2 linked regions of the Notamacropus eugenii genome follow. The protein of the gene in region 1 interacts with the protein of each later gene in a pairwise test. Links are inferred from orthologs where the notes say so. Each region holds a gene or a part of one and is shown in the gene's direction. Other genes may lie near its edges.

Evidence for each region.
Region 2: the proteins of RAB3IL1 (region 1) and RAB11A interact in a two-hybrid assay, tested with the Homo sapiens proteins (2 studies listed by BioGRID and IntAct). The two-hybrid records come from large-scale screens. The link is inferred for Notamacropus eugenii from reciprocal best matches to the Homo sapiens genes RAB3IL1 and RAB11A.

Annotation. Positions count from the first base shown.
Region 1 is NC_092873.1:13,633,795-13,641,031, reverse strand, and holds the start of RAB3IL1 (guanine nucleotide exchange factor for Rab-3A), read left to right. Parts: upstream 1-4,227; 5' UTR 4,228-4,903; coding exon 4,904-4,932; intron 4,933-7,237. UniProt on the Homo sapiens protein: Guanine nucleotide exchange factor (GEF) which may activate RAB3A, a GTPase that regulates synaptic vesicle exocytosis. Promotes the exchange of GDP to GTP, converting inactive GDP-bound Rab proteins into their active GTP-bound form.
Region 2 is NC_092872.1:128,251,767-128,259,768, forward strand, and holds the start of RAB11A (ras-related protein Rab-11A), read left to right. Parts: upstream 1-4,987; 5' UTR 4,988-5,003; intron 5,004-8,002. UniProt on the Homo sapiens protein: The small GTPases Rab are key regulators of intracellular membrane trafficking, from the formation of transport vesicles to their fusion with membranes.

The DNA of each region.
Region 1 (7,237 bases):
TTTGACTGGAGAGGTGAGAGATTATGGGTGCAGAATGTTGACCACACCATCAGATAAGGTTATGGTGAGAGCTGGTTTTCTTTGTTATAAGGGAAGACTCACATGATTGTGGGCATGTATGTCTGGGGCTGGGAAAGAGAAACAGCTGGAAATGCTTGGGCTATAAAAACACAAGGATAGGTGTAGGTATGAACTTGAGAGTTCATTGATATGTGGAACTACTAAAGAGAGAACTCTCTTTACCAATGCAGATTGCAACCCCTCTACAAATGATCATTTTAGAGAGCTATCTGAGGCACTGAGAGATTTAATAGCTTTCTCATGTGTCAAGGGAGGGACAGTAGGAATGAAAGGCATCACTTTAAACTAAAATTAAAGTCCCTTGGTGGATTTGAGGGTAATGTATTTCCAGTTCACCTTTGCACACGTGAGATGTGTGAGGTATTTAGGGAGGACCAGCACCTCTGGTGGGAGGACTGCTCATCCACCTTTCGTGTACGTGTCACCCAGCTCTCACCTGTGACTCCAAGAAGCTGGATGGACTAAACCAGGTAACAGGTAACTGATGGACCTCAAACCCATTGGTGAGTTAGGAGTGTGTCTGCCTCAAGCATGTGAAGATTTTTCCCAGTGGAACGGGTACAGGAGAATGATTTGTTCCAGCGGCCACGAAGGTGACTAAAGCACATGCGACGGAGAACTTAGCATTTGTTTGGACATGGAAGGTGCCAAGGTCACCCACCTCATCCTGGGCCATAGCCATCATCCTGACTTTTGCCCTGCCACTGGATTCTGATGACCCTAGAAGAGAGACAACTTTGTGAGGCTCTTCCTCACTTAAATCCACTTTATACACAAGTCAAGGCATCACCCCAGGATATCATTGATTTTCTTTAGCAATGACGGACAAACAAGAACGGTCTCTACAAAAACTCAACACAACAAAAGTTGATTTTGTATCCAGTATGAGAGACAGTGTGGTATGACCAATAGAAGCTCACCTCTAAGACTGGAAGACGCAGGTTCAAGTCCTAATTCTGAGAAGTACTGGCCGTGTGATCCTGGCCAAGTCCCCTATTCTCTCAGTGCTCCAGAAGTTGCAAAAAAGGAACCAACCTGCTTCAGTGGAGGGAATTTCCTCACTTTGGAGTTCTTCATACCAGTGATGTCACAGATTATTTAATCTCTCACCTTAGACCTCTCCAAATGCACAAGATTCTGTTATCCTCCATGACAATGGTGGGCCATTGACAGACTGGGAGATTAACTGTAGCTGAGGTTGCCCTGAAAACCCCAAAATCTTAGGTGACCTTGAATGACTTAAAGGCATAGTTCCTTTCCTAAGGAGGAGAGGACTAAGATGGGCTTCTATCAGCACCAGGGGTTACCAGAGAGTTCACAGATCCATTATAATAAGGCTTATGTGCACATCTCGACCTTTGCTGGCCTTCACAAACCTTTAGTGACTTCCTGTTACCCATGAGATGAAGTTCAGACTCCTCACCCTGGCCTTCACTGACATTGGAAAGAGAGTCCAGTGCAGGTGGCACCTTCTTTAACAACACATATAGGTAAGCAAAGCATTGAAACAGGCTGATATAAGAGGGGTGAAGGGTAGGAGAGGTCCAGGGGGTGCTTATGGGTGCAAGTCAGTGCATGGGATGATACTGGACTTGGCTGATGCGTCAGTGCCTTCTGACAGACTGTCTTCCCCCTCTTTTTCACTCTTTGTGATGAGGTCTAGCTCTCTCAGAGGATGGAGGGATGTTGGGAAAACGGATGTGATATGAAAACCAGAGATATCAGTGACATTTTCCTAAAATATAAAAACACACAGACAAAAATAAAGCTAAAATTAAAATAAAAGCACACATTACAAGAAATATGCAAATTAGCAAAAAAAGAAGAAAGTAAGGAAGGAGGAGAGAAGGAGGGAAGGAAGGAGGTGAGAAAGAGAGAAAGAAAGAAAACATGGAATCACCCTCTCTCTAATCTCAAAGTGTTTGCTTTCAAAAGCCAACCTTCCTCAGCTAGAAGCACCCTCTGAGGTCAAGTTCAGACTTCTCATTTTATAAACGGGCGGTGGGGGCTTTGACTGGATGAACTCTGAGGCCCCTCCCTGCTGTAAATCTATGACCCCACAAATGGACTAGGCTGCATTTGGGAAATGGTACATTGCCTTCAAAGAGCAAGGGTAAACAAAGGACCATCTGTTGATCACTAACAAGAGTCAAAATCAGGGCAGGGCAACTGGGATTTGTCTCAGGGCATCAGATTTAGAGGGCACAGAAAACACTTGCAGTAACAAAAGAGGTGAAATGTGTAGGGCTCAGCCAGCCTGAGAGCATTTCCAAGTTCCCTCACTCGGTACCAGGTCCTCCCCTCCCTCAGTGTCCTGAGGCCCAGGGAGTTTGGGAAATGCTGATTTAGGGAGCCTCATACTCCCTCTTCTTTCCATTAGGGTGCCAAGGCAGGAGGGGAGCTTTGTGAGGATTCTGGGCTTCAAGTCCCTGCCTCTCCCAGAGCGACCACTGGAGGGTGCCTTAGCCCCAAAGGGCCCTCCTGCTGGCCCCTTGACCTTCCTTTTTTTCCTGAGAAAAAGTCTGTGTTGTGAGGGCAAGCTGAGCTCCTTTAAGATGAGTTGGGGAGAGTTAGGGGTCCGTGACTCTCTCATTCTTGTTACAGCCTCTTAGGTGGGTGGTGGAAAGAGCTTTAGACTTAAAATCAGGGGACCTGCCAAGGAGTGTCAGGAAAGCTACTTCCATGCCTCCCCCTCCTTTTTGAGCTAGGGGATGGGGCCCACAACATTGCCTATCATATCAATTTTTTTCCAATGAACTGATTAGTTTTTGTTGAATTTTTTTCTTTTCTTTTTTTAGAAAATAAATTCCTTGTTATAGGGAATAGATGGTAGAGGGAAGGGGAGGGATAGAGGAGAAAATCCAGGTGATATGAAGACAAAAAAGTAATAAAAATCTATTCTTTTTTTTTTTAAGTTTTTCTTCTCTGGGTCTCAGTTTTCTCATCTATAAATTGGGGGACTAATTCTAGCTAGGGTGTGATATTCGAAGAGTACTTCTATTAAAGTCAAGGGAACAGAGTTCGTATTCTGTGTATGAGCCTTATTCCCCCACACGGTGTTGGGCAAGCCCTCTCACCAGTGGCATGCACCTCAGTGTCCCCATTTGTAAAATGGGATTAAGGAGTTTTGGACTGCTGCACTGGTCTTTTGCTGACCTTGTCCGTCTTGACTTCTGTTCAGTCTTTGATGCTGTCAACCACCCTCTTGGCTCCCAGGTACTTCCTCCTTCCTTATCATATTAATAAAAGTATTATTTAAATATTAAATATTATTAAGCACATTAATGAGCCCAATAACTTATTTTATTTTATAATATATCATAAATCATGTTTCAAGGATCTCATTAGCACAGGTGCTCAATTTTTATATTTGTATATATTATATATATTCATATTTATACAGACTGGATAAGCTGTAAAGCCTAACCCTTCTGAGATTTAATGGACAGTTTATGAGAGTAATGGGTTGTGCCTGAAAACATTCTCTTTCTCTAGCCTACCTGGTAGTGAGACAGTAGTATAATAGTGTTAAATTAATTAAATATAATAGCGATTTTGTAATCACCTGTCTAGGGAACTCCCATTATGGAAATTCCCTTTGTCAATACAGAATGACATAGTCCTAGAGAGAGGCCTTAGAGGATTGAGACTGACCCAGGAAGAGCCTAAGGGACTTGTCCAAGGTCAACAGGCTAGCAAAGGGTCACAGAGTTAAAAATGAGGGATCTTAAAGGTCATGTGGAATGTTTTCTTCATTCTAAAGATGAGCCCAGGTATGGCTTTGCAAGATCAAGGTTATAGGTCACAGGTGGTGAGATTTGAACCAAGAGCCTCTGACTGCAGACCCAGCATACTTTTGATTTGGTCTTCCTGACTCCAAGGCTAGATACCTTTCAAAGAAATCAAGATTAAGTTAATGACATTATAACAATTAATATTATTATTTAGATTGTGATAGAAACAGGCTGGACACAGAGCTTTAGACAGTATGGACACAGCAAACTACAAGTCCCAGGGAGATAACTGTAGTTGGACAGTGTGGGGCTCCAGCCCTCAGAATGCTGACATCATCATACACTTAGGGTAACCACAGCGACAGGGGCGCATCACAGTGGTCTCCCAACAGCCCCCCAGGCCCTTGGACACCAACCCAAGAGCCATCTTACTCAGTAGGCTTAGAGCAGGACCCCCTGTTGGAGGTGGGCAGAGGAGGGAGGGGCCCTGGGGGCTGACCCACCCTGACAAAACCCCCAGGGCCTAGGAGAGAGGTGCAGAGGGGTTGGTTGGCTACCTGAAGACTGAAGGGGCCCCTCTGTTCCCTCCTGCCTCAGAAGGTGTCCATACCCTGCCCACTGAGTGAGGAGGGTGAAAGCAGTTGGAAAGAAAGAGATCCACCTGTTTGGGAGGGGTGAGAACAGAAGGCTGGAGAGAGCTGGCTGGCTTAAGAAGGGATGAGGGACCCTTGGACCTGGGTCCAGGCCTCCTGAGCATCCAAAGACTCTTATATCTGAGGGCCTAGTCTGAAGGGCCTCCAGCACCACTAAGCTGGACCACCCCCACACTCCATCCCACCACTATAACCATGGGAAAGCAGGGCAAGAAACTGATTTCATCACCTCCTGGGCCCAGCGACCCCTGAGCAAAGAATTGGGAGAGACCTCTGGGGTGTTTATTCAGATGGGCCTGGTGGACTCTACCTGTGCACCATGAAGTAGACCCCAGCAGCTGTAGCCATCCCAGCAGAGGGGCCCAGACGATCCTTGGCCTGGAAAAGAGAGAAGTGGACCTTAGGAGGCCGTGTGCTGACATCTCCCCAGGACCCATGGACACTGCTCAGCTGAAACCTGTAAGGTGAGTGCCCCACCCACAACCCACCACAGAGGCCAGGGCTTCTCACACCAGCCAGTCCAGTGAGGTTTTCTTCACTGGACCATAGATTAGAACTGGAAGAGACCTTCGAGGTCATTGATGAAACTGAGACCCAAGGATAGGACGTGATTTGCCCAAGGTCAAACAGCAGGGAATAAATAAGAGAGGCAGGGTTTGACCCCAGGTTCTTTGGCTCCAGAGATAGGATTCTTTACCCCATACCACCCTGCCTCCCTTCTTGCCTAAGGTGCAAAGAAAACGACATTGGGAGGCTGGAGTTTCTGCCCCCTAACTTGATGTGACCACTAGAGTTCATTTTTTTATAGCATCTCTCTCTGCTCTCCTAGGAGGTTGGGAGTCCAAGGGTTTCTTTTGTTTGGTCCAGACAAAGGTTTTATTGAAACTGCATGGAAAAGTCTTTCTTCTGATAAAGCTAGGGAACTCATCTATAACTCATGGTCTTGCCTGGGGTGGGGACTAAGAGCTTAAATGAGCTGCCTAAAGCCATACAGCTAGTTATGTGTTAAAAGCAAGATTTGAACTCAGGTCTTCCCAGTTTCAAGGCTGGCTCTCAGTGCAAGGATTATTATACCCATTAGGCAGAAAAAGCCCATTCAACAACAGATTCATGCTTAACCAACAATTATTATGCATCTACTATATACAAAGCCTTGTGCTGGACATTGGAATGGGGAAAACCTTTAGAGAAAACCCAGAGTCTCTGCCCTCAGGAAGTTCTCCAATAGTGATGAGTTCCATCAGAACACAGAGGTAGGTAATACACAGTCTCTGCCAGTAGAATAGTAAGACTTGGACCTGGGAGGCATCCACACCAAGGGCTTCTCCATCTCTTTTGTGTCCTGATCTCCTGGGGAGCAGTCTAGTAGTGATGCCAATGAACCTCTGCCCAGTCATGTTTACAAATAATTTAGGGAAATGCTAAATTTGAGTTAAAGGTTAGGGAAAATATGTATGCCCCCACCTTCCCCAATCTGCATTCACAGATCCTTTGATATCTATCCACGTGGATGGGGTCCCTAGGTTAAGAATCATTGACTAATCCAACCCCATGATTTAGGGAGCAGGAAACCGAGGCCAGGGGACAAATTTAGACTCTTATGAAGGGAAAGATGTGAGGAGTGAGGGGTAGGGACCAGAGGAATTCCATGATGCGTTAGCTTCCTTTGGGGATAAGATTACTAGGCTGGTAGAGAGGGGAATTTTATGACTACATTTTATACCTGGATTTTAGCAAAGTTTATGATAAAGTCCATCATACTAAGAGATAGGGATTAGGTGAGGATAAAATCAGTGGTATACAGAACTGATTGGATGGCTGGACTCATGATTCCATGTCACTGCAGCTTGAGGTCTCTCAGTCTGGCACTGGGATATATAATCTTTTGTCCATGACAGACTTGTATGAAGGCATAGATGACCTGCTCATTAAATCTGCCAATGACACGAAGCTGGGACACCACTGATACTGAATGACAGTCAGGATCCAAAAAGATTACAACAGGCCAGAGCTTTGGACTGCCTGAAATAAGATGAGATTCAATAATGATCATTTTAAAGTCTTGTAATTGGGTACAAAAAATCAACTTCACAAACATAAGATTGGTGGGGAGCCTGGTTAGATAACAGTTCAGAGAAGGACCTGAGGATTTTAATGGACCACAAGTTCAGTATGAATCAGCAGTGGGGGGAAGCAGCCAGAAATGCTCATGCAGTCTTGGGCTGTACCATGAGGAGTGCATCTTCCAGTGGTTGGTCCCACTGTCCTCTACCTTTGTCAGATTCTATTCCAAAATCCAAGTTTAAGAAGGAGGCCGATTCATTGGAGAGGGTTCAGAGGAGAGTCAGGGTTACAGAGGGAAGGGTTTTGAATCTGTTGGAGGAGCTGAGGGATATCTCAGGGAGAGGAGGGGCTTCATATATTTGAAATATTTGTCCCAGAGGGCACAGCCAATAGCTATGAGTGAACATTGCAGAGAGGAATCTTTGGGCTTGATATCAATAAAAACGAAGTAATAGTCGACATTTATATGCCGCTTACTCTGTTCCAAGCACTGGGCTAAATGCTTTACACGTATCATCTCTTGACCCTCACAATATTCTTGAGAGATGGGTGCTATGATTATTCCCATTTTGTAGTTGAGGAAACTGAGGCAAATGGGCTTAAGCGACATGCCCAGGGTCACTTAAGTAAGTGTATGAGGCTACTTTTGAACTCAAGTCTTCCTGACTCCAGGTCCAGAAAATCCTCCTAACAATTAGCTGTCTA
Region 2 (8,002 bases), on another chromosome or scaffold:
GGTCATGTCGGGAAACAGAGCAGGTGGTTACTTTTGCGAGAAGGTGTGATTTGAGCGATATCTCTAAAAGATTCCACAGCCCTCAGATACTGGTTCCACCCTTGACTGGGGCTGCCAGGGGAAAGTCAAGACTGTGTGTGTTGATTCCAGAGATACGAGTCATACTTCACATTTATATAATGTGTTAACATTTATAAAATGCTTCCCTCTTCTATTCTCTATGCAGCTGATGATTTTAATATTATTATACCCATTTCATAAGTAGAGTCTCTGAGATAAAGTGACTTGCCCTTGGTCACACAGCTACTATGGGCCAGATCTGGGATTTCAACTCAAGTGCCCCCTATCTTCAAGGTCCAGTGTTCTTTTCACCATCCCATCTTGTTGCTACCTCAGTGTGAGCCTCCTCTGGTCAGCCAGCAGCAGAAAGATGATGGAGATTGAAGATTGACAGGATTTTGGGGCATAATGAAGGAGAAAATAAAAGGTAGAATTGACATTTTTAAGTGCCTACAGTGTGACAGTCATTGTTCTAAGCACTTCATAAATGTTATCACATTTGATCTTCATGACAGCCCTGTAAGGTAGGTATCATTATCATCCCCATGTTACAGTTAAGAAAACTGAGGAAGACAGAAATTAAGTGACTTGCCCAGTGCCACATAGTAAGTGTCTGAGATTAGATGTGACTTGTCTTCCTCACTCTAGGTCCAGCATCCTAACTCTCCACTGTACCACCTACCTGCCTCTAGAAAGAAGCCAAAGTGCATATTTGCCTGTTTCATAAGATAGGATCGGACCTGTCAATATGAGTCTGATGATAAAACTCTTTCTAAGGTCCAGAGTCATAACTTGAAATTCAAGGAACCAGGGCAAATTCAATTCAGAGGGGAACAAAGACTCTGAGGTGCCTGTTGGGGAGACTGGAATATACACACGTCACTTCCATTGCCACAAAGATTGCTGTTTTCAGGTGTCCCACATATTGTACGCTCCCAAACATGGACGTGATGTAGGCAAACTGTCTTGGGCTGGAGGGAGAAAGAGGGGCTGCTGCTGGTATTCTAGGAATAAGGATGGAGAGGAAAGGGAGTCCTTGGTGACCAGGTACCAGTCACAAAGGCAAAGGGGAAGAAGCATCCCTTTCCCCCTTCTCCTTCCCACAGGTTGGATCCTGTGTTACCAAGTCACCTTTTGCTCAGCATTATGTAAAAACCTTAGAGAAACATAGCCCAATCCAAAATAACATACTCATATAGTGATATTTTGGATTGTTTTTCAATAGGTCTAGTGATATTAATTCCCTTCAGCGTAAGAACTGCAAAAAATTGGGCCCTGAAGAGTGAGCTCTTGTTACTAAGAACTGTACCTAATGCATTTTCCTTCTCTAAGTTTCTCTGTCTCTCTCTTATTCTGTCTTTCTTAGTCTCTGTCTCTCAAACTCTCTCTCAATCTCTCTGTCTCTCTCTCACTCTCTGTCTCTCTCTTTCTTTCTTTGTCTCTGTCTCTTAGTTCCTCTCTCTCAAACCCTGTCTTTTTCTCCCAGTCTCTGTTTCTTATTATCTGTCTCTCTTTCTTTCTCTTTGTCTTGACCTCTTTCAATCCCTCTCACTCAATCTCTCTGTCTCTCACTGTCTTTGTCTCTGCCTCTCTCAATTCCTCTCTCTCTCTCTCTCATGATTTCTCTTTCCTCTTTGCCTTATGGTTCTCTTGAGTCTTGTATTTGAAAACCAAATTTTCTATTCAGCTTTAGTGTTTTCATCAGGAATGCTTGAAAGTCCTCTATTTCATTAAATATCCATTTTTTTCTTTTCTTCAATGAATTTTTGAACATCTTTTCTCCATTTGGCTAATTCTTCTTTTTAAGGTGTTCTTTTCAGTGGATTCTTGTGCCTCTTTTATCATTTGGTCTGTTTTATTTTTAAGGTATTATTTTCTTCAGAGTTTTTTGTGTGTGTTTGTGTCTCTTTACCAAGCTGTTGATTCTTTTTTCATGATTTTCTTGTATCACTCTCATTTCTTTTCCCAATTTTTCCTCTACCTCTCTGATTTTTAAAAAACGTTTTAGAGCTGTTCCAGGAATTCTGCGTGGGGGAAGGTAGAGCTGAGATCAATTCATATTTTTCATTGAGGCTTCAGATGCAGCAGTTTTGACTTTATCATCTTCTGAGTTTGTGTTTTGGTCTTCGCTGTCACCAGAGTAACTTTTTATGGTCAGGTCATTTTGTTGCTGCTGTTTACTCATTTTTCCAACCTATTTATTGACGTTTAACTTTATGCCAAAGTTGGGTTCTGATCCTAGGGTGGAGGGGGCACTGTTTCATGCTTTGGGGTTTTTTTGTGCAGTCATTTTCAGAGCTAGTTCTTGGGGTCTGTAAGTTTTTAGTTCTACCAAGGTGGTATGATCTAAGGAGAGGTGCGTTTACCTAGGCTGTGAGTGACCACAGCACTCTCTTCCAACTTGGAACTATGACCCAACTCCCCCGTAGCAGCAGAAGTGGCTCCTCCTTGCCCTGGGACTACAATCCAGGACTATGACCTGGATTCATGTATGGGCAATGCAACCAAGTCCTGTATACAGTGTCAGCAAGGGTACCCTCATAATCTCCTTCTGGCCAGTTGTCTGGCCCCCTTACCATCTGTGGGCCGAGAGTTCTGGAAGCTGCTGCTGCTTATTCAGTTGCCGCCAAGGACAGCTGCTGACTTGCCAGGGTCATTGCCTGACCTGTACTCCACTCTCACTCCCAAGTGACAGAGATTTTCTGCCAACCTTCTAAATTGTCTTAGGCTGGAAAATTGTTTCACCCCATCCTTTTGTTGATTCTGTGGCTCCAGAATTATTTTTGAGGCATTGGTTTAAAGTTGTTTGGAAGGGAATGTGGGAGAGCTCAGGCAAGTTCATTCCTTTTCTTTGCCTTCTTGGCTCTGCCCCCATTAAAAACATTATTGTTATTATTCCCTTTCTTCTGAGTTCCTTGCTGACTCCAAACCTTTTAGGGTAAAAGACATTGCAGAGACTCAATTGTATCACAAAAATAAAATTTGTGTTTTATTCTGGATCTTCATATCCCAATCAACCCTATACATACAAATATATACATACGTACATATATGTTGTGCCTATGATTGCTTGATTGCAAATTTAAAAGGCATGTGCATGAAGGGCCTGATTTGAGAAGGAAAGTGGAAAAACTGCAGCCACATCAATCAGCCACAAAGCCAATAATCAAGAAGGAAAAATCTTCCCTTTCCTCACTCGGGAGTAACAGCTACTTTTCCTCGCCAATGCCAAATCAACATCAGCCCTGAGACAAAGCACTGTTTTGTTTCATGGCTGGACAATCTTGATTTTCAATAATTACTGGTTGATGACCATGAACAGTACAATTAAAACAATAGTGTTAGGTAACTCCACCAATCTCATTGTACTAATATAGGTGTCTTTCATGCTCTCTGCCTCCTTTGAAGTGAATGACATGTTGGATTTGAGCCAGTCTCCCACAGATATTAACTCAACGCACATTGATTCAGGACTTATATGTGGAAAGCACGGTGTTAAGCCCGAGTCCATCACCAGTCATCCAGACCTATGTCTTGACTCTAAATTCTGATGACCCTGGAGGAGACAGTGAGGCCAATGACTTTGAGCAGCCCTGCTTCGCTTAAATCCAATTCATATACATCACCCTCCTGATGTCATTGGTCCTATTAGGGCAGCTAGGTAGTGCAGTGGATAGAGCACCAGTGCAGGAGTCAGGAGGACCTGAGTTCAAATCTCACCTCAGACACTTGACACTCACTAGCTGTGTGACTTTGGGCAAGTCACTTAACCCCAATTGCCTCATCCTGGGTCATCTCCAGTCATCCTGATGAATATCTGATCATTGGATTCAGATGGCTCTGGAGGAGAAGTGAGGCTGGTGACCTGCACAGCCCTCCCTCACTCAAAACAAACTCAAGTGCAAGTCATGTCATTATTTCTCTGATAGCATGGTCTTCTTCAGCAATGAAGGACGAACACACACACACACACACACACACACACACACACACACACACACATTGGTCCTATTTGAGAATTAAGGACAATCAATAGCAACATTAAGCATTGAGGTAGGTATGAAGATAAAATATGCTGCCATTTCTCTCCTCATCCCCCCCTTCCTCCCTCTGTGCACATGAGGAGCCTTTTATGCAGTTTTTTTCACTTACGTTTCGAGGGGGCTAGATCTTTTTCTTCTCCATTTATTTATTTATTCTATTATTTTTTCCCATTAATTTGGGACAATTAACTCTTTTTTAATGTAGTTTTCCTTTATGTTTTCTAGAAATATAGCTTTGACAAACCAGACTTTGATAAAACCCATTGGTATTCAAATGGAAATACTTGACTGAGACTTTAAAATCCAATCACCCTGTCTCTCACTGACTGGCCAATAACAGGTTCCAGCCCAAGCCTCACTTACTCATTGTTTAGATTTTATGGCTCAGAGGGCCAGCAAAATAACAATTGTTTCTGTTCTGGCCAGAAACTTTGAGAGTGTTCCTCTTCCAGATCAAGTCAAACTAGACCAGGGGTGGGGAACCTGCAACTTCAAGGTCCTTTGACTGAATCCAAACTTCACAGAACAAATCCCCTTAATTAAAGGTTTGTTCTGTAAAACTTAGACTCAGATCACGGGTTCCCCACCCCTGAACTAAACCATCTTTTGCCTCAATTCTCACTGAGCCTTAAATTACTAAGTAGATGTTGCCTCAGAGAAACTGAGACCTGAGAAAGACCTTAGCTTAAAAAGGTCATGGTCTCCGCTGCATCTGGGGGCATCGCCAGTCAACTTGTCTTATGTCTTGCCACTCGACTCTGATGACTGGAGGAGAGAGTGAGGCTGATTTTGCACAGCCCTGCTTCATTTAAATCCAGGTCACTTGCAAGTCAAGATATCACCCTCCTGATGTCATTGAATGAAGGACAAAGGACAACAACAACTGTGTTAAGCATTGAGGTAGGCATTAAAGATGTGAATTCTGTTTTTGTGGAGTTTGTATCCCAAATTGTGGGAAATGACACACATATACAAAACAATAGTATACACTATTATATGTACATAAGAGAAGTACAAAGAGGTCCAAGGAGTGGGTGTGGAGGAGATTGTTAGCAGTCTGGGAATTTCAGCAATAGCTGACTGGATGAAATGGCTTTTAGTTGGGTTTTAAAGGATGCAGAAAAATTCAAGAGAATAAAATAGGGGAGGAGGGCTTTCTAGGACTAGAGAAAAATGTGAACAGGGACAGAAAAGTACGGGGTATTTATGAAGCTCAGTGACTGGTCCTGTTTGGCTGGAGCATAGACCAGCAGTGGAGTGTAGGACAATACAGTGCATAGGCAGCTAGGTGATGCCATAGTGCACAGAGTGCCAGGCATGGAGTCAGGAACACTCCTCTTCCTGAGTTCATATCTGGCCTCAGATACTTACTGTGCAACCCTGGGCAAGTCATTTAACTCTGTTTGCCTCAGTTTCCTCAACTATATAATGAGCCAGAAAAGGAAATGGTAAACCACTCCAATATCTTTGCTAAGAAAACCCTAAATGAGGTCACAGAGTGTCAGACAATTGAAAAACAACTGAACAAAAGGGTAAAGTGTAGGAGAGGGGAGCACTGTGGAGCCCAGAAGATCTGAAAGAGGAATAAGGTAAAACAAAGTTGTAAAGGTAAAAAAGGTAAAGTGTGAAGGGCTTCAAATGCCAAGCAATGAATTTGGAACTTACTCTTTAGGCAATAGAGTGTTGATGAGGGGCTTTTAATCAATAACCAGACCCGTGCTTTGTCTTTTCTCTAGGGATCAATAGCTCCTGAAAGAAAAATACTTTCTAACACTACTCTGGGAACTCGCTCTTTAAGATCAATGGGTGTTATTCTTTCTTCAATGATTTCAGGATCACTCATCTCTTGGGCAGAAATAGCATAAGCTGAAAGGAAACAGCACAGGATAATACAAAAGACATTAGATTTAGAGTCATCGCTTTTGTCATCAAAACCTTTTTCTGCTTCTTATTACCTAGATAATGATATTACCTGAGCAAGTCGTTCCACTTCTTTGAGGCTCAGTTAGTTCACATGGATCATGAAGAAATTGGATGAGATGATCTCCACAGTCCCCTCTTCTATGATCCTTCGCAAGCATTGTTGTTTTTCAGTCATGTCCAACTCTTTGGGACCCCATTTGGGGTTTTCTTTGCAAAGATACTTGAGTGTTTTGACATCTCCTTCTCTATCTCATTTTACAGATGAGGAAACTGAGGCAAACAGAGTTAAGTGACTTGCCCAGGGTCACATAGCTAGTAAGTGTCTGAGGTAGAGCTGAATTTAGATCTTCCCCGATTCTAAGCACAGCAGTGCTCTGTCCTTTGTACCATCTAGTTGCCCCCCTTTTCACAAGTTACCCAACTCTTTCCTTTTAGAGGGCCAAAGGAAACAGAGTGAAGAATCGTACTCATGTACCTAGGGGTTTGACGTACTCTATTAATTTCCTTCTTTTGCATAACGTGTTATAAAAGGTCCTTAAATTATTCCAAGTGAGTCTTATCACCTCAATTTTGATGTCAGCTTCCTGAGAAGAAGAGTTAGTCTTCACCTCGATTCCATCCCTGTCTCCCTTTACTTTGCCAGTGCCAAGTATGAGGGGGCCTTACTAGGTGGATACTTAAGCAATTGATGTTAAGTAATTGACAGACAGGAAATATAACTATAATATTCACTCCCACCGAAGCAAGTTGAGTGGTTTTCCAATGGACAGTCTCATGATCTGCACTATGTACCTTTTAGAGGATGTGAATTCTGGGAGAAAATTGGGCTCATCTTTTGTATCTATAAGGGACTTATTTCAGTGGGTTGGATAGAGACTTCAACAGAGGACTTCTACTTTGACAGAGACCAGGCAAGGCAGGGACTTTAGAATGAATCACTCGAGTTCCTGGGCCTCAGCTATATGGGGAAGTTGCCCCCGTCACTGTGTCTCTTGATTTCCTGTGTTTGCACCCCCATAGAGGACATTACCATGGTAAGATTTTTCCCTCTGGCTTTGCTTTTGTTGAAACCTTGTGTCCTTCCCTATTGAAGAGCTCTTTGACCCTCAAGGATTCTTTGTTTATTCTTATCTGTATCATTTCCCCAATTGGCTGCTTTCTTTGACAAAAAGGTTCAAGATGGACTTTTGTGTAACTAGTATTTGGTGGGAGTAAAACTAGTGAGTATGAGTGAGTGGCTACCCTCCCCCAGTGAAAGCCATCAGGGCTGGCAGCTTTTATTCTAAACCCAGACTAATACCCCCAAACTACTTGAGTAGTAGCAGATATAATTCTAGCATATTATTGTCCATCCTTCATTTTCAAAGAGGATCAAAGATTTGATACCCCTCTCAGAGAGAGAAGAATTCACCTAGACTCAATGATCCTGAATCCTACCTGTTCTTTACCCCACACACCCAACTAGACTGTGGACAGTGCAGGCACAGCCTCCTTTCTTCAGAGGTGAGCCAGATTCCATATATCTACCTATGCCAACTGTAGCCCATATCTATATATTTATATATTAGACATCTCCCCAATATCTATCTTATATAATAAAAATAGGGGAAAAAAATCCAATCTAACTCAACTCTAATCAGAAAATACAAAGTCCAGGCAACACTGTACAGTAGTACCTGCTCTGAAGTTAGTCTGATCTCAAGTTCTATTTCTGATATTTACTACTTGTGTTTCCTTGAATACGTTACTTAACTTTCCTGGACTTCATTTTGTTTAACTGTAAAATGAGAGGGCTGGACTCGATTATCTCCAAAGACCCTTCCTATTATACAATCTTAATAAGTTCCCAGAGCATGACTATAAAACATTTTCCTATAAATGGAAACTCATGGATACACATGGGGAAAAATCCATTAAGGACCACAAGCAAAATGTGTCTTAAGGATAAAACAAATATCTTTGAGACAATTTGGCTA